Pelodiscus sinensis: one gene and its partners. The protein of the gene in region 2 purifies or fractionates together with the protein of the main gene of each other region. This does not show direct contact. Links are inferred from orthologs where the notes say so. Each region holds a gene or a part of one and is shown on either strand. Other genes may lie near its edges.

What was found. Proteins that work in one complex are often made in the same cells at the same time.
Region 1: the proteins of SF3A1 (region 2) and HNRNPU purify together in Homo sapiens (affinity purification with mass spectrometry; 3 studies listed by BioGRID and IntAct, with this or other methods). This does not show direct contact. The link is inferred for Pelodiscus sinensis from reciprocal best matches to the Homo sapiens genes SF3A1 and HNRNPU.
Region 3: the proteins of SF3A1 (region 2) and HNRNPC fractionate together in Homo sapiens (co-fractionation; 3 studies listed by BioGRID and IntAct, with this or other methods). This does not show direct contact. The link is inferred for Pelodiscus sinensis from reciprocal best matches to the Homo sapiens genes SF3A1 and HNRNPC.

The regions. Positions count from the first base shown.
Region 1 is NC_134713.1:132,534,126-132,541,710, forward strand, and holds the start of HNRNPU (heterogeneous nuclear ribonucleoprotein U), read right to left. Parts: upstream 3,018-7,585; 5' UTR 2,829-3,017; coding exon 2,117-2,828; intron 1,182-2,116; coding exon 1,070-1,181; intron 956-1,069; coding exon 882-955; intron 1-881. UniProt on the Homo sapiens protein: DNA- and RNA-binding protein involved in several cellular processes such as nuclear chromatin organization, telomere-length regulation, transcription, mRNA alternative splicing and stability, Xist-mediated transcriptional silencing and mitotic cell progression.
Region 2 is NW_027465935.1:507,811-514,800, reverse strand, and holds the start of SF3A1 (splicing factor 3A subunit 1), read left to right. Parts: upstream 1-3,976; 5' UTR 3,977-4,073; coding exon 4,074-4,136; intron 4,137-6,990. Other genes in the region: CCDC157 (coiled-coil domain-containing protein 157), read right to left, coding at 1,675-1,946, 3,265-3,267. UniProt on the Homo sapiens protein: Component of the 17S U2 SnRNP complex of the spliceosome, a large ribonucleoprotein complex that removes introns from transcribed pre-mRNAs.
Region 3 is NW_027465841.1:161,160-168,636, forward strand, and holds the start of HNRNPC (heterogeneous nuclear ribonucleoproteins C1/C2), read right to left. Parts: upstream 3,018-7,477; 5' UTR 2,879-3,017; intron 1-2,878. Other genes in the region: G-protein coupled receptor 4-like, read right to left, coding at 6,006-6,956. UniProt on the Homo sapiens protein: Binds pre-mRNA and nucleates the assembly of 40S hnRNP particles. Interacts with poly-U tracts in the 3'-UTR or 5'-UTR of mRNA and modulates the stability and the level of translation of bound mRNA molecules. Single HNRNPC tetramers bind 230-240 nucleotides.

The sequences.
Region 1 (7,585 bases), on a different chromosome or scaffold from region 2:
ATGCTACTGCCATGTCACATCTTAAAGACCAAGTCCCCTCCCCCACACACTTTAGCCTTAGTGGCAACAGCAAGGGCTCACAAGTTGGTCATTTTCTCCCCATTGTTTTTTCATAGTAAATTTGTAATCACATAATACATGGTTTGAACTGGACATACTAGTGCTGAATTAATTCCAACACTAATGTACAGTTCACTTTACAAATGAACAATAAAACTTAACTGCCTTATGAGGTTTGTACCCAAGTGGTAAGAATTCTCCATGTATACCAGCTCATTCCTGCTTTGAGCTAATGACTATCAATTAGAAGTCAACATATGGTTTGTTCTAATTTATTAATATCAGCAGGATTACTTCATCGCAATACTGCTCTTATCCGTGTAGTGTTTAAGCTATGAAATTGAGGTAAACTGCTTCTTTCCTCCCAAGTTACCAGGGCTGAACCATAACAGAGCCTGAACATATTTCATAATTAAGTTCTCAATCTGAACCAGCCTGAGGTCCTCCTCCTCCCCCACTGTGGTTTAGGTCCTCTGTATTCTCTCCTCTCCACTTTGAATCTCATTTGAGAAGACCTGCTTCAGTAACCAGTGAACTTTTTGGAAAAGTTTAAGTTCACCCTGAAGCCCTTTCCCCAGCCTAATTCAACAGCAAAACTGGGGGTAATATTTTTAAAGTTAAAAGAACCATCATACAGAGAACAAAATAAGAGGAAAGCCCAGGCTTTCTTCATATACCATAAAACACAGAAAAAGGGCATAAGCCTCAAGGACTTCAGAAGTCACTTTTAATTATGAAAGCAATCTGTATGTTCTTACTACAATTCATCAAGCAATTTATTTTTAAAAAAATGTCGTTAATTTTTTTTAAAAAGTACTTACAAGTATCAAGACAAACCATTGTATCATCAAACTGTTCATCTTCCTCTTCAACAGGTGGTTGAGGAGATTTGGCCCTAGAATCAACAATAAAATTTGATGAGTTTTTCCTCAACTGTTTTTACAAAGTAATTAATACCTGGCTTCTCTTCAGAGATCTAATAATATTTAGTGCTTTGAAGTTTCTCTACCTGCTGTACTTGTTTTCCTCAATGTACTCAAAGTATCCCCGACCATGGTCTTCACGAGGCCTCTTCACACCTCTCTTTTTATCACCAGGTTTTTGTTCTGTTTTAGTATCGCCTACAGAAAGTAAGTTAAGAGAAAAATATGTTTAAGGTAATTCCTGTTGAGAAATGTGTTTTAGTTTTAGTTTTCTGGGGTGGTATTTCCCTAAATGCCAGGTTTCAAATTCAAACATGTAAGAAGTCTCCATATAAAAGATATCCATTTAATTTTTGGGCAGGTAACTGGTGTGCTCTTAATCATTTAGATAAAATCTATTAGGACAACACTGCAAATTTTAACGGCAGCACTAAGAATCTGACAATGATTTCAAGTTACCTCATGAATCGTCAGACTTGTGAAAAATGTGACAAGAATAATATGAACTTGTGTGTACAAGCTCAACAGAGAAGACACCTGCTGTGTTCAGACAAATGGGAGGTTAGGCAGAAAGCAGACCAGTAGCTCACTGTATTAAATGGATCGTTTACACCCTCCTTCCCTTCCCGCCGCGGGCACAGTGAAGCCAAGCACAAGGGCGCTACACAACTGCTGCGCCTCTCTCCCCGCGTGGCCACAGGCGCAGCTTGGCGGCGGCGCAGCTCCGCATGGGGCCTGGCCGCAGGGAAGGGGATTCCGCCTCCATTGTATCGAGCGTTCCAAAAACGCGAGCCTGAGCAGCAGCCAGGACGGAAGTAACGTCACGCCGCCGAACGTTCGTTTGCACAATACAGCGCGCCCCAGCGGCCCCTCCTGAACCGCCCCTCCCCCACGGCGCAGCAGCCCATGCCCCTCGCTCCCCCCCCCCATCCCCCGCCGCGCTCGGAGACTGGCGCAACGGTCCCGCCCTCCCCCATCGCCCTCGAGCAGCGACCCCACCTGCCCGAGACACCCCCCCACGAGGCCGCCGGTGGGCGGGGGGAGGAGGAATAAGGAGCGCGAATCCCCTCGGCAGCCGGGCAGGGCCCGGATCTCGTGCCGAGCTCCCGGAAAGGCCCCGGCCACGCACTCACCGCCGGCAGCCTGGGGCCCGGGGCGGCCGCCGCCGCCGCCGCCTTCCGCTTTCTTCTTGTCCTGCTGCGGCTGGTACTTGGCGGGGCCCGCCGAGGCGGCCGGCGCCGTTGCCGGGGGTCCCGGGGCGCCGCTTTTGCTGGGCGCCTCCTTGGCGGGCGCCCGCTGCTGGGGCTGCAGAAGCGGCGGCGGCTGCTGCTGGGGCTGCTGCTGCTGCTCCCCGTGCCCGTTGGCGTCGCCGGCCTCAGCCTCCTCCTCTTCCTCCTCGTCGGCGAGCTCGTCCTCCCCCTCCTGGAAGCCCTGGTCGTCTCCGTTCTCATCCTCCTCTTCCTCCTCCTCCGAGCCGCCCGCCTCCTCCTCCATCGGGCCGCCCCCGGCCCCCGCCCGGTCGCCGTTCTCCTCGCCCAGCTCCATGGCGTCGCCATCGGCCGCCTCCATCCCCTCCTCCTCGTCGTCCTCGGCGGTGGAGGCCGCGGCCTGGTCGGGGCCTCCCCCTTGGCCGATCCCGGCCGCCTCCCCCTCCATGCTGCCGTTGCCGGGCTCGGCGGCGCTGCCGGCGGGGCCTCCCCCGCCGGCCTCCTCTTGGTCTAGCGCGGCCTGGAGCCGCTCCATGAGCTCGGCCTTGAGGCCCTTGTCGGAGAGACGCCGCTTTTTCAGCTCCTCCTTCAGCTCCGACACTTTCAGCTTCTTCACGTTGACGGGCGAGCAGCTCATGGCGGCGGCGGCGCGGTGCCTGGCGGCGCTGGGCTCGGTCGGGCGGCGGCGCTGGGTCGAGGCCCCGGTGGGACGCGGCTGGGTGGGTGGCGCGGCTGGTTCGTGCGGCTGCGGCAGCTGCAGAGCGGACCCGCCTGGCGCCAAATCCTTTCACCGAGCTCGCGAGGGAGAGACGCGCCTCGCGGGGGCGAGCACGCAGCTTGGTGCCCGCCCTGCCCGCGCACGCAATATACCCCCCCCCCCTTTCCTACTTACCGTAAGTGCCGCCGAGCGCCTCCAAAACCCCACTACCGTAAATGCCCGCCCCAGCGCATTCAACCTGCCTAGCCCCAGCTTTTGCAGCGCCGCGAAAGGGGCAGGTATGAACCTTTCATGGGACAGGAGGAACACCAGTGCTCTTACCAAAGAGCCCCCGCGTGTTACTCTGGTTGTGCCACTGGCTGACCACGATTATAGACAGGAGCAGTGGAAGTGCAGCTGACTAGCTAGAAAGCTTCAACCTACAATCCCGTACCGTGTCCATTTAAATCTTGCATGTTGCCCAATAAGTAAGAAAAGATGTAGTCTCCCCTTCCAGAAGGGTAAATTGGAGTATTTTGGCTCTGCCTCAGGAAGCTGTGGGATCCCCATCTACATCATCCATCAGAAAAAGGGAAAAATACATTGTTAGTCTGTGGAACTGAAGGCTCCACTCCTGTGATCGGCTCCATGTACACAAATTGTGCCTGCTTGAACATCACTCAGGTTCCCTATAGGGTCCTCTTTCACCGATTGGCTTACAGAGTCAGAATCCAAGTACGGACCCGACAGCTCACACCTAGTCAGTCTGCAGAGTTCACAAGCATAGTAGGATCCAACCTCCTGGATCTAAGCCTTTGTCTGCCCATAAAAATTGTGCCGCCTTGATCATAACAGCAGTTACACCAGTAAAATGTTTTTAGGGTGCACAGTTATACCAATATGAAGGTGCTTAAACCAATTTAGTTTAGACCTTGTCTACACTAAAAAGGTTATACTGGTACAACTGAGTTATGAATAGGATTGATAACTGATATTGTAATAGGCTGACCTCTACCATGGGCACAGTTATACTAGCATAGAAGTGCCTTATACTGGTGTAACTGATTTTCCTTTCTGAACTAGAATAAGCTGTATTGTACATCACTAAGGGTGATGTACAATATTAACTATACTGGTATAATTAAAGCAGTACAGCATCTGTGTTCATAAAAGCTCTCATATTATTGCTCAGTCATCAGAAAAAAAAAATAATCCTCGAGTAGGGAGGATTCTCCCTTGAAATCAACCCTGAGTAATGCTCAGGTGACAGCAGCAAGGACTCGCTCTTTCGCACACACAGCCTGTAAAGAATATTAGAGGAAAGGTGGTGATAGCCCTGATCTTTTTCTAGCATTTATAAAGGTTAATAGATTTTACATCAAATTTAGAGCTGCCAAGTGAATCCTAAAATAGGGAGCCTCATGTCAATCTGGACCAGCTAAAGAGAGGTCAAGGTTGTTAGCTTGTGTCTGTATTAGGGGAAAGGTTGTTGTTTGGTCAGGGCTAGCCAACAAAGGTAATCAAACCCTAATCTTTTCATCTAAATTATGGTTGGGCAACCTAAGGCTGGTAGGCCACACATGGCTCGTCAGGGTAAGCCAGAAAGGTTGTTTACCTTGTGGATGCAGGTATGGCTACCCACAGCTCCTATTAGCTGCTGTTTGCCATTCTGGCCAATGGGAGCTGTGGAAAGTGGCACAAACCACTGTAAGTGACATTGTGTACACATAGCCAGATTTATTGTTTTAAGATGCCTTCCTATAGTTTGCAGACAACGCTGCATCAGTTTACAAGCCATTTTTGGGGTTTTCTTTGCAAGCGAAAGGGTAAACTGAACCCTAACAATGAATGGATTCAGTTTTGATATCACATGACTCCATGAACCTAAATACCATATTCATGTACTAATATGGCTGCCCATTGAAACACACAAATCCTAGCTTCCACCAGGAATTTTTACTCCCTAGCTTCAGATCCAAGCTTTACAGATTGATGGGCTCCTTTTAGCGTAAGCACTAGCTCCTGCCTTAATCCACTTAACACACATCTATATTGAATGGTACCCTCATTTTGACTCACAACAATAGTCCTACACTGAAGACAATTGTAAGGAAGCATCAAGAAATCAAATCCCTGTATGCATTCAATCATATTGGCCAACTTTAGTAATACTCTTCTTATACATCTATAGAGCAACCCTGGAGTATCAAAACGGCTAAGGATTTTCATGCATGTTGAAAGATTTACTTCCCCCAAAACATTCAAACTTAGGGGTCTAAAGTTAGGATCCTAAAGTAATATTTAGGCACCTAAATAGAAAGTCTAATTTTACAGAGATGTTTAACACATGCAGCACCCATTGAATTTTAATGGGAGGTGGGATTTTCAGCACCTCTGATCATTAAACCACTTTTGCTTATCCCTTGTCTACACTTAAGACTTAGATCAATGTATCTACATTGCATTACTAAGAATTGTGAAAAATTATGTCCCAAGCTCCAATGCAGTCACCATTGGCTACTGCTGGAGTGCTGGATTAACTACTGTGGTGGAAAAACCCTGTCAGATGCTGCAGCAAGTGTCCACCTATAATAGGGACGTTGACTATTCAATTTCACTATAACTATGTGAAAGCTTAGCAGTTACACAACTATTCAATATCTCCAGGGGCGGAGATGGCAGCCAGTGTACGCCAACCCCATTCTCGGGGAGTCCCCTGCCACACTGTGCTTCTGCCTCTGTTGGTCCATGAAGGGAACTAGTTCAAAAGCCAGCTCCCTGCACAGACTGGCTGCCTGCCACTCTGTGCTGCTGCCTCTGATACAGAGGCAGCAGCATGGGGTAGCAGCAGCCTCTGTCCATGGGGTCTGAGCTCTCCATGGACAAAAGCTGCTCCATGGGGAGCTTGGACACCCGTGGATAAGGACTGCTACTGCAAAGCTTGGAGTTCTTGCTGCAGACAGAGGCTGCTCAGTGGCAGCCTCCTCTTCTCCCCCCCCCCCCATGCTGCTGCCTCTGATAGGAGTCTTTGGCAGTTGGAACTGAGAAAGAATGGACATGAAAATGATTAAGATACACATAGAACCCTGTTTAGCTTCATTTTGTATGAACTAGCATCAGTAGGCTTCTGAAAAGTGACAGATACATTATAGTCATACAATCACTCTGTTAAAGACAATCTTTTCCCAAATAAAAGACTTACTAGTCTTGAGTCCTATAAATGTTTCAGAATTTTAAGGTTTTTTTTTGGGGGGGGGGGGGGCTATAGCCCTATTTTAAAAACAAAAAGTGTAATTAGGAGGCATGAGAGAAATATATTCCCCCCCCCCTTTTTTTAAAATAGCTTAGACAGCTGAGAGGACAGGACTTTACTCAAGTTTTCATCACCCCTTGTTTCAGCTCAGCCAAGCATATCTGAAACATTCACCTTTAGACAATTATGAACCTCTGAAAATAGGGAGTTCTAGTAGCAACTGTTTTACCACAATAAAACTTAGAGTTACTCAGCTAGAATGACAGATATAAAAACCCTCTACTAATGTTAAATTACAAGTGTCCATATTCTAGATCTTATGGCACATACCATTCTGTCACATGATAAAAGACACCCTTGTGCATCTAAACTGAAAGTGACAAGTAGGTGCTATAATTAAAGTAACCATAATACCCTAATTCCTTGTGGGGTCTATTTTCTTCTCTACTTATTCTGCATTTATTTTAGTTTATTTTTTCTTCTTGAAACATCCCTCAAAGATACTCTTAGAGCGTGTCTTTCGAACGCTTATTTTGCGCCCTGCTACAGTTTAACTTCGGTCTCCTCCTAGTTGACATTGATGCATACACATTTACTCCTTGAGTCTGGTTTTCTTATTTCGTTTGCCAAACTTCACTTCTCCTTATCACTAAATGGCTCTCTTCAAATTCCTGGCCCCCACTGACCATGGTCCTTAGTTTCCACTGCTTTTTGTCATCCATGTTCTTGGAAGGACTTTCTCCATCCTTCTTCCCCCTTCTCCCTCTCCCCCCAGAATAAAATATGGAAATTGAAGGAGTGGCAGCATATACTCAGTAGCTTCCACACTCCCATGTACTGTTTAAGCAGTTTTTGCTCAGAGACCCAATCATTCAACAGACTATCACAAGTTTTAGACTGGGCCCTGAGCGAGTGGAAGCTATGCCGTTTGATCAGCGCCCCATCCCACGCACAGCCTTGATTAGACTGATTCCAATTTATTTATGCCATTCTGTCTGTCACATGGCAGGAGTCTTCTGTGTGTCTGATAGCAATTCCGATCCTTTACATCTTCCAGACTGAGAGAGACAGACAGGGGCACTTCTCTGAATGTCTACAGTTTTAGTTTTGCTTTCTCCCATCTTCTCCCCTTTTACCCTGTGCTTCCCTTGATGCATTCAGTGGTCATTGGAGGATGGGGTCTGACATCAGTCCACTTCTTTCAGTGTCTGAATTCTAGCTGAAACAAAAAAACAGGACTATGTAGCACTTTAAAGACTAACAAGATGGCCCACGAAAGCTCATCACCTAATAAACCATCTTGTTAGTCTTTAAAGTGCTACATAGTCCTGTTTTTTGTTTCAGCTAGACCAGACTAACACGGCTACATTTCTATCAGTATTCTGAATTCTAGCTGATCACCATTGTTATAAATGAGCCTTTGCAAAACAAAACAGAACTGACA
Region 2 (6,990 bases):
GTTGAGTTAAAAAAAAAAAATTGACCTTTTTAAGAGTAGAGCAGGCATTGCCCTTTTAAGGCGGCCATTTTGAAGTCTGCCCGAGCGGATGGATGGACTGGGCTCTTTCTTGGAGGGAGAATGATGGGGGGGGGAGCTGGGCCATCTCACCTTCCACTGGAATTTCTTCACGCCCCCCCCCCCTCTGGGGGCCACGTTTCCCAGTTTGGGAACCCATGAGACTGTTTTGGGGTAGAAATGAGGCAGGGCTGGACAGGCATGGGTGCATGTCCCCAGCTGTGGGGCTAGAGCAACATTCCTCTGAGTTCAAACACCGATCAATTTCACTGCCACAGGGACTTCATATTGGTCAGTTTCAGGATGTTCCCATGGTGCTACAACCATGGGGTTCGTGATCCACCAGGGGATCGTAGGGGACTGTTCCAGATTCACGTGACTCTAACACGCCAGACGCAGCTACATGGTCTGTACGACCGTAGGCTGCGTCTAGACGGGCAAGTTTTTCCACATTTTCCGCTTTTGCGGAAAAGCTTGCCAGCTGTCTACACTGGCCGCTTGAATTTCCGCAAGAACGCTGACGATCTCATGTTCAAATGCTTCTGCGCAAGAGGGCCAGTGTAGATAATGGGGTATTGTTTTGCGCAAAAAAGCCCCGCTGGCGAAAATGGCGATCGGGGCTTTCTTGCGCAAAACCGCGTCTAGATTGGCACGGACGCTTTTCCACAAAAAGTGCTTTTGCGGAAAAGCGTCCGTGCCAATCTAGATGCTCTTTTCCGCAAATGCTTTTCACGGAAAACCTTTTCCGGGAAAAGCATTTGCGGAAAATCATGCCTGTCTAGATGCAGCCGTAGTGTTTTCCCAACAGGCATTTCTGGAATTGGGGCTGTTCCCGGGCCAGTCTTTTAACCGTAGAATCCTAGGGTTGGACGAGCCCTTCAAGACACGCGTGGCCAATCCATGGCTTGTGAGCCTCGTGCAGCTCTTTCCCCCTTAAAGTGCGTGTCACCTCACTGGATTTTAACGGGAGCAGCCAGATCACTGCTGCACCCTTGGGTGGGGGGGGAGGTTGCCCCAAAGGGAACCATGTGAGGTGTCTCATGAAAGCTTCTGTTCTACTGATTCTGTATGTGCTATTCATGTACTTGTATGATATCTGTATGTGGAGTTATAAGCATGTACTCTGTAGGGATGCTGGAAAATTCTCTGTGGCCAGGAATGCTCAGCCAATGGCTATGCTAATTAGCAAGGCTCCAGGCTATGCTAATTAGCAAGGCTCCAGGCTATGCTAATTAGCAAGGCTCCAGGCTATGCTAATTAGCAAGGGCTGTGTCTAGACTGGCAAGTTTTTCGGCAAAAGCAGCCTGATGTGTCCTAAAAAGACTAAGTCTGTGTTTTTTCAAGGGGCAGTGACTTTTTTTTTTTTTGGCTTAATTTTGGTGCGGCTCTTCGTGTTATTTCCGCCGCTGATTCGGCTCTCTTTGTTCAATGGGTTGGCCACCCCGGCCTCAGGAGGTCATCAAGTCCAGCCCCCTGCCCAAAGCAGGACCAACCCCAACTCAATCAACCCAGCCAGGGCTTGGTCAAGCCGGGACTTAAACACCTCTAGGGACGGAGACTCCACCTCCTCCCTAGGGAACCCAGCCCAGGACATGAACAGTTCTTTCATCCTCGCACCTGTCAATCACTAGTTCCAGGAGCACGACATGGGAATGCTGGGTAAATTCAGGGTCGTTCTCCACATAGTCATACTGCTCCAGCAAAGCCACCAGATCCAGCTCGCAGGACACTTTATTGGGGAACTTCCAGGAGGGATAGCGCGCGGCTCCCGCCCGGGAGAAAACGTCGACGATGGCTCCTTGTAGGTCGGTGAGGTCCTTCCTCAAGCTCTCCATGCAGTTCGGATCGCCCAGCAGGTGCGCCATTCGGACCGGGCAGGAGGGGCAGATCTGCAGGAGGGGACAGATTCACTAGCTGGGCCCCTAGGGAAAGGGGGGCAGGTGTTTTACGGCTGTGGGTGCACGACAGGCCGTGCCCCTGGCCCGGCACACGTGTGCACGAGGGACGCGTGTGCTGCACGAGCACCAGCCCAGCCAGACATGGGGCCTCCCCGCCCCTGATCCCAGCTCCATCCCCACTCTGATCCCAGCCTCCCCTCCCACCCCGATCCCAGCTCCGCCCCACTCTGATCCCAGCCTCCCCCCCCGATCCCAGCCCCACCCCCCACACTGATCCCAGCCTACCCCCCAATCCCAGCCCCGCCCCCCACTCTGATCCCAGCCTCCCCCCCGATCCCAGCCCCACCCCCCACACTGATCCCAGCCTACCCCCCAATCCCAGCCCCGCCCCCCACTCTGATCCCAGCCTCCCCCCCAGATCCCAGCTCCGCCCCCCACTCTGATTCCAGCCTCCCCCCCAGATCCCAGCCCTGCCCCCCACTCTGATCCCAGCCTCCCCCCAGATCCCAGCCCTGCCCCCCACTCTGATCCCAGCCTCCCCCCCCAGATCCCAGCTCCACCCCCCACTCTGATCCCAGCCTCCCCCCCAGATCCCAGCTCCACCCCCCACTCTGATCCCAGCCTCCCCCCCAGATCCCAGCTCCGCCCCCCACTCTGATCCCAGCCTCCCCCCCAGATCCCAGCTCCGCCCCCCACTCTGATCCCAGCCTCCCCCCCAGATCCCAGCCCCGCCCCCCACTCTGATCCCAGCCTCCCCCCCAGATCCCAGCCCCGCCCCCCACTCTGATCCCAGCCTCCCCCCCAGATCCCAGCCCCGCCCCCCACTCTGATCCCAGCCTCCCCCGGCCCCACAGCAGCTAACTCAGCTGGCAGCTGTTCAGCGGACAGAACCATCCAATCCAAGGGGGGGCACTCCGCTGCTTTACACCCCCCTCCCCCCGCGTGGAACAGTCCATTTTCTTCCCCTGCGCAGCACCGCCCCCTGGAGGACGGGGGAGCCAAGCGCGGGCAGAGCGAAGGGCAGCGGCGTCAGCAGGGCTACTGCGCATGCTCCGTGCCTCTCGCGCGCTCCCGGCGCCCCGAAACCATGGCGACCTCAGCCCCCCCTCCCCCCGCGCATGGTACTGCCCACCCGGCGGGGGCTGAGGCCCCGAGCCAGGCCGCGCCGCCCGAGCGGGGGTGGGACCCCGGGGATACGGGCGCTGGGGCGGGACCCACCTGCCGAGCCTCCGCCCCCCCGGCTCGGAGCGGATCCTTCGCGCCCCCGTGGCCGCGCGCCTCGTTACCACGGCAACCGGGCGGAACGAACCATCTGCGCCGGAAACTGTTCGCCGCGCTTCCGGCTCCCTCTCCCCCGAGTGGGCCTGCCCCACGGAAGGCCAGCCCCTCCTCAACTATTCTGCTCGTCTTTCACGGGTTTGGTTTCCCCCAGTAGGGCGTCACGAGAGAAGCGCTCCCCCCCTCCCCGTTCTCTCAGTGGAATATTCCGAGTTGGCTCCCTCACAGTGAGGCAAGCCCGGCGGGCTGCGCGCGCACCCACTGCGTGGCTCCCCCCCACCCCACTGGTATCGCCGCCCAGCGGACACCCCCCCAGTTCCGGAGTAGAACAGTCCCCCTGGGCTGCGCGCGCAGGCTCTGCGTGGCTGCCCCCACCCCACTGGTATCGCCGCCCAGCGGACACCCCCCTAATCCCGGAGTAGAACAGTCCCCCTGGGCTGCGCGCGCAGGCTCTGCGTGGCTGCCCCCACCCCACTGGTATCGCCGCCCAGCGGATACCCCCATAATCCCGGAGTAGAACAGTCCCCCTGGGCTGCGCGCGCAGGCTCTGCGTGGCTCCCCCCACCCCACTGGTATCGCCGCCCAGCGGACACCCCCCTAATCCCGGAGTAGAACAGTCCCCCTGGGCTGCGCGCGCAGGCTCTGCGTGGCTGCCCCCACCCCACTGGTATCGCCGCCCAGCGGACACCCCCCCCTAATCCCGGAGTAGAACAGTCCCCCTGGGCTGCGCGCGCAGCCGCTACGCAGGGCGAGGCAGCGCGCGCAGCGGCCGCCATTTTGGGTCGGTGTCCGCCGGCCGCTCGCTCCCGTCGCCCCAGGCCAGGCCGCTGAGGAGGCGCCATGCCGGCCGGGCCGGTGCAGGCGCTGCCGCCCGCGCAGCCAGCGCCCCCCGAGCCCAAACAGGTACCGGCCGGGCCGGGCCCGCACCCTCCCCCCCCCCCGCGCGGGCAGGCCCCGGGGCGCGGTGCATGCTGGGAGGGTGACCCGAGCGCGGCGCGCCCGGCCCCGCCCTCCGCGCCTGGGGGGGGGGTCTGGATCTGCCCCCCCCGCGCATGCCCGTCAGATCCAGACCCCCCCTCACAGGCACCGGGGGGGGCAGATCCAGACCCCCCCTCACAGGCACCGGGGGGGGCAGATCCAGACCCCCCCTTCACAGGCACGGGGGGGGCAGATCCAGACCCCCCCTTCACAGGCACGGGGGGGGCAGATCCAGACCCCCCTTCACAGGCACGGGGGGGGCAGATCCAGACCCCCCTTCACAGGCACGGGGGGGGCAGATCCAGACCCCCCTTCACAGGCACGGGGGGGGCAGATCCAGACCCCCCCTTCACAGGCACGGGGGGGGCAGATCCAGACCCCCCCTTCACAGGCACGGGGGGGGCAGATCCAGACCCCCCCCTTCACAGGCACGGGGGGGGCAGATCCAGACCCCCCCCTTCACAGGCACGGGGGGGGCAGATCCAGACCCCCCCTCACAGGCACCGGGGGGGGCAGATCCAGACCCCCCCTTCACAGGCACGGGGGGGGCAGATCCAGACCCCCCCTTCACAGGCACGGGGGGGGCAGATCCAGACCCCCCTTCACAGGCACGGGGGGGGCAGATCCAGACCCCCCTTCACAGGCACGGGGGGGGCAGATCCAGACCCCCCCTTCACAGGCACGGGGGGGGCAGATCCAGACCCCCCCTTCACAGGCACGGGGGGGGCAGATCCAGACCCCCCCTTCACAGGCACGGGGGGGGCAGATCCAGACCCCCCCTTCACAGGCACGGGGGGGGCAGATCCAGACCCCCCCCTTCACAGGCACGGGGGGGGCAGATCCAGACCCCCCCTCACAGGCACCGGGGGGGGCAGATCCAGACCCCCCCTTCACAGGCACGGGGGGGGGCAGATCCAGACCCCCCCTCACAGGCACCGGGGGGGGCAGATCCAGACCCCCCCTTCACAGGCACGGGGGGGGCAGATCCAGACCCCCCCTTCACAGGCACGGGGGGGGCAGATCCAGACCCCCCCCTTCACAGGCAGGGGGGGGCAGATCCAGACCCCCCCTCACAGGCACGGGGGGGGGCAGATCCAGACCCCCCTCACAGGCACGGGGGGGGGGCAGATCCAGACCCCCCTCACAGGCACGGGGGGGGGGCAGATCCAGACCCCCCTCAGGCACGGGGGGGGCAGATCCAGACCCCCCTCAGGCACGGGGGGGCAGATCCAGACCCCCCTCAGGCACGGGGGGGGCAGATCCAGACCCCCCTCAGGCACGGGGGGGGCAGATCCAGACCCCCCTCAGGCACGGGGGGGGCAGATCCAGACCCCCCCTCACAGGCACGGGGGGAGGCAGATCCAGACCCCCCCCCTCACAGGCACGGGGGGGGGGCAGATCCAGACCCCCCCCTCACAGGCACGGGGGGGGGCAGATCCAGACCCCCCCCCTCACAGGCACGGGGGGGGCAGATCCAGACCCCCCCCCACAGGCACGGGGGGGGGGGCAGATCCAGACCCCCCCCCCACAGGCACGGGGGGGGCAGATCCAGACCCCCCTCTCACAGGCGCAGGGGGGGGGGGCAGACCCACAGGTCGGGCCTGGGCAGGGCTCGGAGCGGAGCTGCCAAGGCCAGGGGGGCCAGGGACACAGCAGATCTGGGTCCAGAACAGATCTGGGGGGCAGGAAGGGGTTGGGGGGGAAGCGGTCCTTCTGTGCTGGCCTGGCCTGTAGGTTCCCCCTGTGCCCCAGTACAGGGACGTGCCCCCCACTTTTGGGACCTCTGGGAGTTCCTGAGCACGTGGGTTAAATCTGTGTTTCTCAACCTTTCTCCATAAAGTATCCCTTTAAAAAAAACTAAACATTTTCAGGGGGGACACACTTTTTTCCCCCCCACCATTGCAACACATTTGTTGCAACAACGTCATCGGCGCCGGGCGGGCGATGACGTTTTTGGGTGTAAAAAGGGCAAAACGAATCAAGCGCTGTCAAACTGAAAACCCGAATTCCGTTTTCTCCAAATGTCGGTGGTGACGTACCCCCAGACTTCTCTCAAGTACCCCCTAAGTCCGGGCTTCCCAAACTGGGGGGCGTGAAGAAATTCCGTGGTGGGGGGGGCCCATCAACTCCTCCCCCCCCTAAGTTTTGCTGCTATTTTTGTTTTTCGGCCAGGTCAGTTTTCTTTTTCTTTTCTTTTCTTTTCTTTTCTTTTCTTTTCTTTTCTTTTCTTTTCTTTTCTTTTCTTTTCGCTCAAGTTCTGCTGCGGGGTGGGTGAGTGGGAGGGTTTCTCAAAAATCAAAAACAGGGTGGTGATGCCGAAAAGTTTGGGAACCATTGCCCTAAAGGGACTCATACCACTGGTTTCGAAACACTGGGGTAACCGCCCCGCCAGCCGCTGGGAGAGCATTCTCTGCCCCGGGCGCGCGATCCTGGCGCGGCTGCCCCGGGCGTGCAGTCATCTAGCGGCCTGGCTCTGGCCATTGGAGAGTCGTAGGCTGGCGATATGCCAATGCGGGCAATGTCATACCTCATGAATAAACAGATCCGGGTCGGTCTTAAAGCCACCCAAGTGTTTGTCCCAGCGCTCTAGTTTTCTCCAGAGGGGCACTGACCACGGTGTGTGTGCGTACTATTGATCCCTCTGTCACCTGGCCCCCGCTAGGGGGTGCTGTGCACCTGGGGCAAAGGATGAATTCAAAAAAGCAGTTAATTAGATAACCATGAATATCTCGGCAGTTACGCACTGCCGACTCTGCAGTATAAAGCTTTAGATGCAGGC
Region 3 (7,477 bases), on a different chromosome or scaffold from region 2:
TGGTTAGATGGTGCCTTCCAGGCAAAGCCTGACACAGGACATTTGCACTAGCTGCTCAAATCCCTAACTACAGTGATGTTTGTGCCCAGAGACCATACAGAGCTTCTTTTTGAATCAGAGGTAACACATAGGGCCCTACTAACTTCACAGCCAAGAAAAATGCATCAAGGACCAAGAAATCTGGCTTTGTCCTCCCCTCCCTGCCCCCCATGAAATCTGGTGCTCCGGGTTTTTACCCTATTCTATGCAGATTTTACAGGGAAGACCAGTGTTTCTCAAACTGGGGGTCCTGGTAATTGCAGGGAGGTTATACATTTTAGGGGGTCATAATATTGCCACCATTATGTATGTGATGCCTTGAGAACAGAGCTCCCAGCTAGGGCTCTGCAGCTGCAGAAATAAGGGCAGCAATATCACAACCCCACTTTCAATAACTTTGCAACCTGTCTCCCACAACTCCTTTTTGGGCTAGGACCATAGAATTATTGAAAATCCTGTGACCATAAAATCGGCCCAAATGGACCATGAATTTCTTAAGGCCTTAGTAATAAGGGGGCTAGCTGCCCTTCCCAGGATCCCTGCCACGCAGGTACCATTGCAAGTGGACCTGACAAAGCGTGCATGGGGACAGCGGTTTCTGACCATGGAGGCAGTTCACACCCTCTGCCCCAGCCCCAAAACTACCTCAGACACATCTGACTTCCTGAGTGACTCCTGCCACTAAGCTCAAAGGCAGGGGAGCCAGAGTCTAGACACCCACAGCCATGGGTCATGTGTCTAGTTCCCCTCCTCCTGCAAGGGGAGAGAGCAGGGAACACAAACCAGGAGAGTTATCCTTGGACATACCATTCTCCACCCCCCAGGGGCATGTCCCCTGGGGCAGGATATTCACACTGTCAGTCATCCCCTCACTGCCCCCCACCACTGCACTGGAGGTTTTCAGATTGGGCAGCACCATTCCCCCTCACAATTCCCTGCATGGGCCTCCCCGAAAAAAGGGCAGATTCCCCACCACCACTGTTGGAGGGTAGGGTGGGGGGGGGGGACGACAAAATGGCCCCTCCTCCAGGGCACCGCCATTAACAGAAAAGGGAAAAAACATGTATGCCACCCCCCCCACGCCATTCCCGGGGGAAGGGGGGTGTGGGTACCCTCCCCCCCCTTCGGCCCGCGCCATTCCCGAGGGGAGGGGTGTGTGTACCCTCCCCCCCTTCGGTCCGCGCCATTCCGGAGGGGAGGGGTGTGTGTACCCTCCCCCCGCTTCGGCCCGCGCCATTCCCGAGGGGAGGGGTGTGTGTACCCTCCCCCCGCTTCGGCCCGCGCCATTCCCGAGGGGAGGGGTGTGTGTACCCTCCCCCCCCCTTCGGCCCGCGCCATTCCCGAGGGGGAGGGGTGTGTGCACCCCCCCCTTCGGCCCGCGCCATTCCCGAGGGGGAGGGGTGTGTGTACCCCCCCTTCGGCCCGCGCTATTCCCGAGGGGGAGGGGTGTGTGTGTACCCTCCCCCCCCCGTCGGCCCGCGCCATTCCCGAGGGGGAGGGGTGTGTGTACCCCCCCTTCGGCCCGCGCTATTCCCGAGGGGGAGGGGTGTGTGTGTACCCTCCCCCCCCCCGTCGGCCCGCGCCATTCCCGAGGGGAGGGGTGTGTGTACCCCCCCCCCCTTCGGCCCGCGCCATTCCCGAGGGGGAGGGGTGTGTGTACCCTCCCCCCCTTCGGCCCGCGCCATTCCCGAGGGGGAGGGGTGTGTGTGTACCCTCCCCCCCCTTCGGCCCGCGCCATTCCCGAGGGGGAGGGGTGTGTGTGTACCCTCCCCCCCCTTCGGCCCGCGCCATTCCCGAGGGGGAGGGGTGTGTGTACCCTCCCCCCCTTCGGCCCGCGCCATTCCCGAGGGGGAGGGATGTGTGCACCCTCCTTCGGCCCGCGCCATTCCCGAGGGGGAGGGATGTGTGCACCCTCCCCCCCCTTCGGCCCGCGCCATTCCCGAGGGGGAGGGGTGTGTGCACCCTCCTTCGGCCCGCGCCATTCCCGAGGGGGAGGGATGTGTGTACCCTCCCCCCCCTTCGGCCCGCGCCATTCCCGAGGGGGAGGGGTGTGTGTACCCTCCCCCCCCCCTTCGGCCCGCGCCATTCCCGAGGGGGAGGGGTGTGTGTACCCTCCCCCCCCCCTTCGGCCCGCGCCATTCCCGAGGGGGAGGGGTGTGTGTACCCTCCCCCCCCCCTTCGGCCCGCGCCATTCCCGAGGGGGAGGGATGTGTGTACCCTCTCCCCCCTTCGGCCCGCGCCATTCCCGAGGGGGAGGGGTGTGTGTGTACCCTCCCCCCCCTTCGGCCCGCGCCATTCCCGAGGGGGAGGGGTGTGTGTGTACCCTCCCCCCCCTTCGGCCCGCGCCATTCCCGAGGGGGAGGGGTGTGTGTGTACCCTCCCCCCCCTTCGGCCCGCGCCATTCCCGAGGGGGAGGGGTGTGTGTGTACCCTCCCCCCCCCCCTTCGGCCCGCGCCATTCCCGAGGGGGAGGGGTGTGTGTGTACCCTCCCCCCCCCCTTCGGCCCGCGCCATTCCCGAGGGGGAGGGGTGTGTGCACCCTCCTTCGGCCCGCGCCATTCCCGAGGGGGAGGGGTGTGTGTACCCTCCCCCCCCCCTTCGGCCCGCGCCATTCCCGAGGGGGAGGGATGTGTGTGTACCCTCCCCCCCCCCTTCGGCCCGCGCCATTCCCGAGGGGGAGGGGTGTGTGCACCCTCCTTCGGCCCGCGCCATTCCCGAGGGGGAGGGGTGTGTGTACCCTCCCCCCCCCCTTCGGCCCGCGCCATTCCCGAGGGGGAGGGGTGTGTGCACCCTCCTTCGGCCCGCGCCAGTCCCGGGGTGTGGAGCCCCCGCTCACTCACCGCTAGACCCCGCTCGGCTCCGCGTCGCTTTCCCCAGCTCGCGGCAGCCGCCTCACGCCGAGCTTCTCACAAAATGGCGTCCCGCCGCCCTCTGCGCCGCGCAGCCCCGGGCTAAGCGGTGCCCGCCCCCACACTCCCCCATTGGAGGGCGCGAAACCTGTCTCAGCAATGATTGACTAGCAATGGCGTCGATCACAGTACAGGCCAATGAGAGCAGAGAGGATGAGGGCGAGTCCAGGACTGGGCTGTGCCCCTTGCGCCTTAACGGGACGGAAATAAAGATACTGATTGGCTGAAGAACGTGTCACTTCATAGCCCTACTTCAGTTGTCCACTCTGATTGGCCTGTCATTCTTTCCCCGTCTCTATTACAATCTTTCCATTCTGATTGGAGAAGCAGCTCCTCCGGCCCCGCCCTAGCTCATGGGTCCCTATGATTGGTTAAAGGTTTTTCTTAGCCGACCCCACTCTAGTTTTCTCCGCACTGGTTGGCTACTGTGTATGTTAATCAACTCTCAACTGTTAGCTGACCCAATGGAGGAAAAGGCGGGCTCTAGCGTGTGTGATTGGAAGAGCTCCCTGGTGGCGGAATTTCCCATTGGTCACAGCGGGGATGACGATTAGGTGTCCTGACGCTGCCATTGCTGAGCCGGAAGGCGGGTCATGGCCCAGGTGGGAGGGGCGAGCAGCGAGCGCGAGGCTGAGGGCTGCGCGCGCTGGCGCCAGTCGGGGCTAGGTCCACGAGGGGGCTGGGGGAGCTGACGGGGCGGGAGGAGAAGGGGGGTCTGGGGGAGCTGACGGGGCGGGGCAAGGGCTCAGGTGGGTCCTGTGCCCGCTGCCCCCTCCTGAGCCCCTTGCTACACCGTGTGGGTCCCACTCCACTGGGCAAGGGCTGCACACGCGCTTCATGGGGCTCCATTGAGACCCCCCCCAGGCACGGGGGGAGGCCAGCAACGCGTCCTCCTGGGGGAGCTACTGCCCTTCGCACAGGCTGTGAGACAGAGGCACTCGGGTCGGACCAGAAGTGCCCCCCCAAGGGATGAGGGGCCAGCTGCTCAGCGCACGCATGCACAAAAGACATGCTGGGCTCAGTGGGTTTCTTTGAGCCGTGTCCCCTGCAGCCGTCCTCGTGGCTCCACAACACGTGTGCTCTCGGTTCTGACATGCCCCCAGGCTCACTCCCACCGCAGCACTGCCTGGTTTCACTCACCCTAGACTTCCATCACCACATCATGCAGCTCGTTCCAGGAGGACACAGGTTCAGCAGTAAAGGAGAACGCTTTTGGTGAGCACAGGAGGGAGGCAACTCCAGTCAGGGCATGAAATCCTCTCTCTGGAGGTGGTCAGTGTCAATAAGCAGAGGTTAGTGACCTGGAATTTATTCAGACTGGAATATTTAATGGTATTTCCCTGATAGAAGGTTGCTGTAACAGGAAACGGCAGCTGACCAGGACCCACTTGAGGTGGCACCAGCTTGAACTTGGCTCTGCTGCACATGCTCCGCAGCGGCTGGCAACCAGCAGGAGGATGCTCCATCACCCCACCTGCCAAGAGCACCTTCCTCAGTGGGCAGGGGAGAAGCTGCAGGGGCGCTCCTAGCCGACACCGAATGCACGGACACGCTGCTGACTGGCGACGCCTGCCAGTGCCAGTACGCCGTGGACCAGGAAGAGAGAGGGGCCGAGAGTGGCGGCACGGCCCTCCCAGTGTTGGCCACGTTGTCAGCGGATGTTCAAAAGAAGCGCCCCTGCTGCAGAAAGGGGTGGCAAGACGGAGCGGTGGGAAGCAAGCAGGAGAGAAGGAAGAAGTGGCCCAGGGCTTTGGAAGGGTTGGTGCATTAAGGGTCTCAACCCCACCAACCTGACCAGTGAATTGAATCCTGGGCCTTAGGGCCCTGGGCCAGGGCTGGGTGAGGGGGTGGGCCCGAGCCCCCCTACCTTCCCCCAGCTGCCAGCGGGCCGAGCAGGCCTGCAACATTGGAGTGTTGTGAGAGACTGTCACCTGATTAGATTTGGCCGACGGATCAGTGTCCTCCCAGCCAGGGAGAACACTGGGGCATGCCCAAGTGGGCGTCGGGACGACGGGGAGCGAGAGGACCTCCCTGGGGCAGAGGACCCTGCCTGCCACATTGCACACATAGAACCCAGATGTGCCACATGTGGCCCACCAGACGGGTAGACAATTCCTCATATCTCTGTTGCTCAGAACTAAGTGGGAATGTAGCATAGACATGAGTGACCTTTCTCTTTGTCCCATCATGGTTAAATTACAGCTTTTTGCTTGCTCTGGGTCTCTCTCCTTTTCCCCTGTGGGCACGATTTCTTTACCTTTCACCCTTTGTGGAGAGTAGGTCTTTTTTTCACCAGCAAAGATCTATGTCTCTATATCCTGTAAGTTTGGATGAATTTCTTCTCCACGCTAACATTAAATGCTAAAGGTCCAGCTTTTAAAATGATGGTACCTGCCTCAGCTTATGTGGGACCTGGAGGTAAAGTCCATGAAGAAACAATGCAGGAAGAAGGACAAAGCCATGGTGGCTGTCTTAAAATGTGCATAAGATCTTCCCCGTGGGTAACTCTGGCACTACCTGTTCTTATCCATCTATATCCAATCCTAGAGCCTAGTCTAGTGGTCTGTGTTAATTCATCATGTGCCCATCCAATGTTGCTACCTTTCCCAATATTATCAATAGCCTCAAAATATTAAATGTTAAAGGCCCATCTTTTGAGATTATATGTTTCCATGAGACTTACTGTTTATTTAAAAGATCACGATAGGTCCCTGATTGCTGTGAAAAACTAGAGCTCTAACCATAAATGCAAAAAGACCTAATATGTAGTATTCATGAACCAATCTAATTATTATTATTTTGTGGCTCAACTCAACCTGTCTCTAAGGTACTTCTCCAAGAGGTTCTGAGTGAATAGAAGTCCCTGGAGGGATCATGTTTCCCTTCATGTTTCTTTGTGGTTACAGGGGCAGAGTTGCTTCATAAAAGGGAAGCAGAGAACAAGGCCAATCCCTGGTCCGATGCAGGGACCTTGACATCCAAATGGATTCCCACCACCTCACTGGGTATCTTATGCATCAGTCTGAACCAGTGTCCACCTAATATTTCCATTCTTGCCTTAATCTACTTGTGACTGCCCCCGATCCAAGACCTTGCAATACAAGTGATTTCCAATTTCTTTCCGCACATCTTTAAGGAGCAGGATGTACAGCAGAGGATCCAAGACATTGCCAAGTGTGGTAAGGCACAGCGCTACCTGATGGTAAAAGAAGAGGTTTGTTTCAAAGAGGCAGAGTTGGCTGTCTTGATCGTATGGAAGCCTCTCTCTCTGGTATTTGTAGAGGGAGGTCACCTGGTAAGGCACACAGAGCAGGAAGAAGGAGATGATGATGAGGGAAATGAATCCGTAGATTTGCTGCTTTTCCTCCTGATCCAGTGATGGCACCTGCCTGAGCTTGTGCAGGACCCGAAGGTAGAAGAAGCCCATGAAGAAACAAGGTAGGAAAAAGGACAAAGGCATGGTGGCCATCTTAAAATATGCATAGGACCTCCCCAGTGGATAACCCTCATTGCAGCGCTCTGGTTCTAGATTCTTCAGCAGTAGACCAATCCCCACGGAACAGACGCTGAGCACCAGCCCCCAAGCCATGGCACTGACCTTGGTGGCACCACATATTGTGTTTAGCCTCCGGAACTCAAGGGGATGGACCAGGCCTATGTAGCGCTCCATAGCAATGAGGCACAGGAAACCATTCTTGGCATAAAAGTTGGTGATGAAGCCCCAGCTGACTGCCAGGCAGGCCTTGAGCCCCAAAACCCAGTTGTGATCCAAATAGCTGTAGTAGATCCAGAAAGGTAGCATCAAGATCTGCAGTAGGTCAGCGACCACCAGGTTCAACATATAGACAGAGAGGACGATGGACTTCTTTATCTGGGATACCAGGACCCACATTGCCAGGCAGTTCAGTGGCAAGCCAGCCCCCAGTACCACAGAGTAGACAGGGATGAGGAAGTATTTGGTGGTGTTAAAGGCCATTGGGCAGGACACAGAAGATGCCGTGCTATTCATTCTACTCAGCAGAGACAGTGGTTGTTACCAAGGGTGTCAGTTGCTGTCCTGCATGGAGGGGGACACAGACCCCTGTTCTCAGGGTCACCACGTGACCACCAGGGTGGAGGCTACATCCAGTTGTCCAGGGAGACTGCCTCAAAGAGGAACCGTCTCACTTAGCTTACTCCCAAGTTGTACTCCTCAAGGGGTCTGTAAGAGAGAGAGAGAGAGAGAACAAGGGCTGGAGGAAAGCAGCAAGGCAGCCCAAGCATCTGACTCTATCCTTTGTTCCTTGCTCTCTTTATCAAACAACAATGGCTGGGATTCCACTGCCAAGAAACCCTTGTGTTGGGATATGAGTTAGAGAACAAGCCTGAAACTAGGGTTTTTAACTCCTTGTTAGTCATGGGCAGCGAGTACCACAGGCAAGGGAAGGCACTACCTTCGCAAAACAGCCTATGCTCTGGCCAGAAAGGGCCATGGTGTGTCTGCTTGGCCAAAAGGTGCTCCCACTGGGTGGGGTCACGCCACCCACTAGG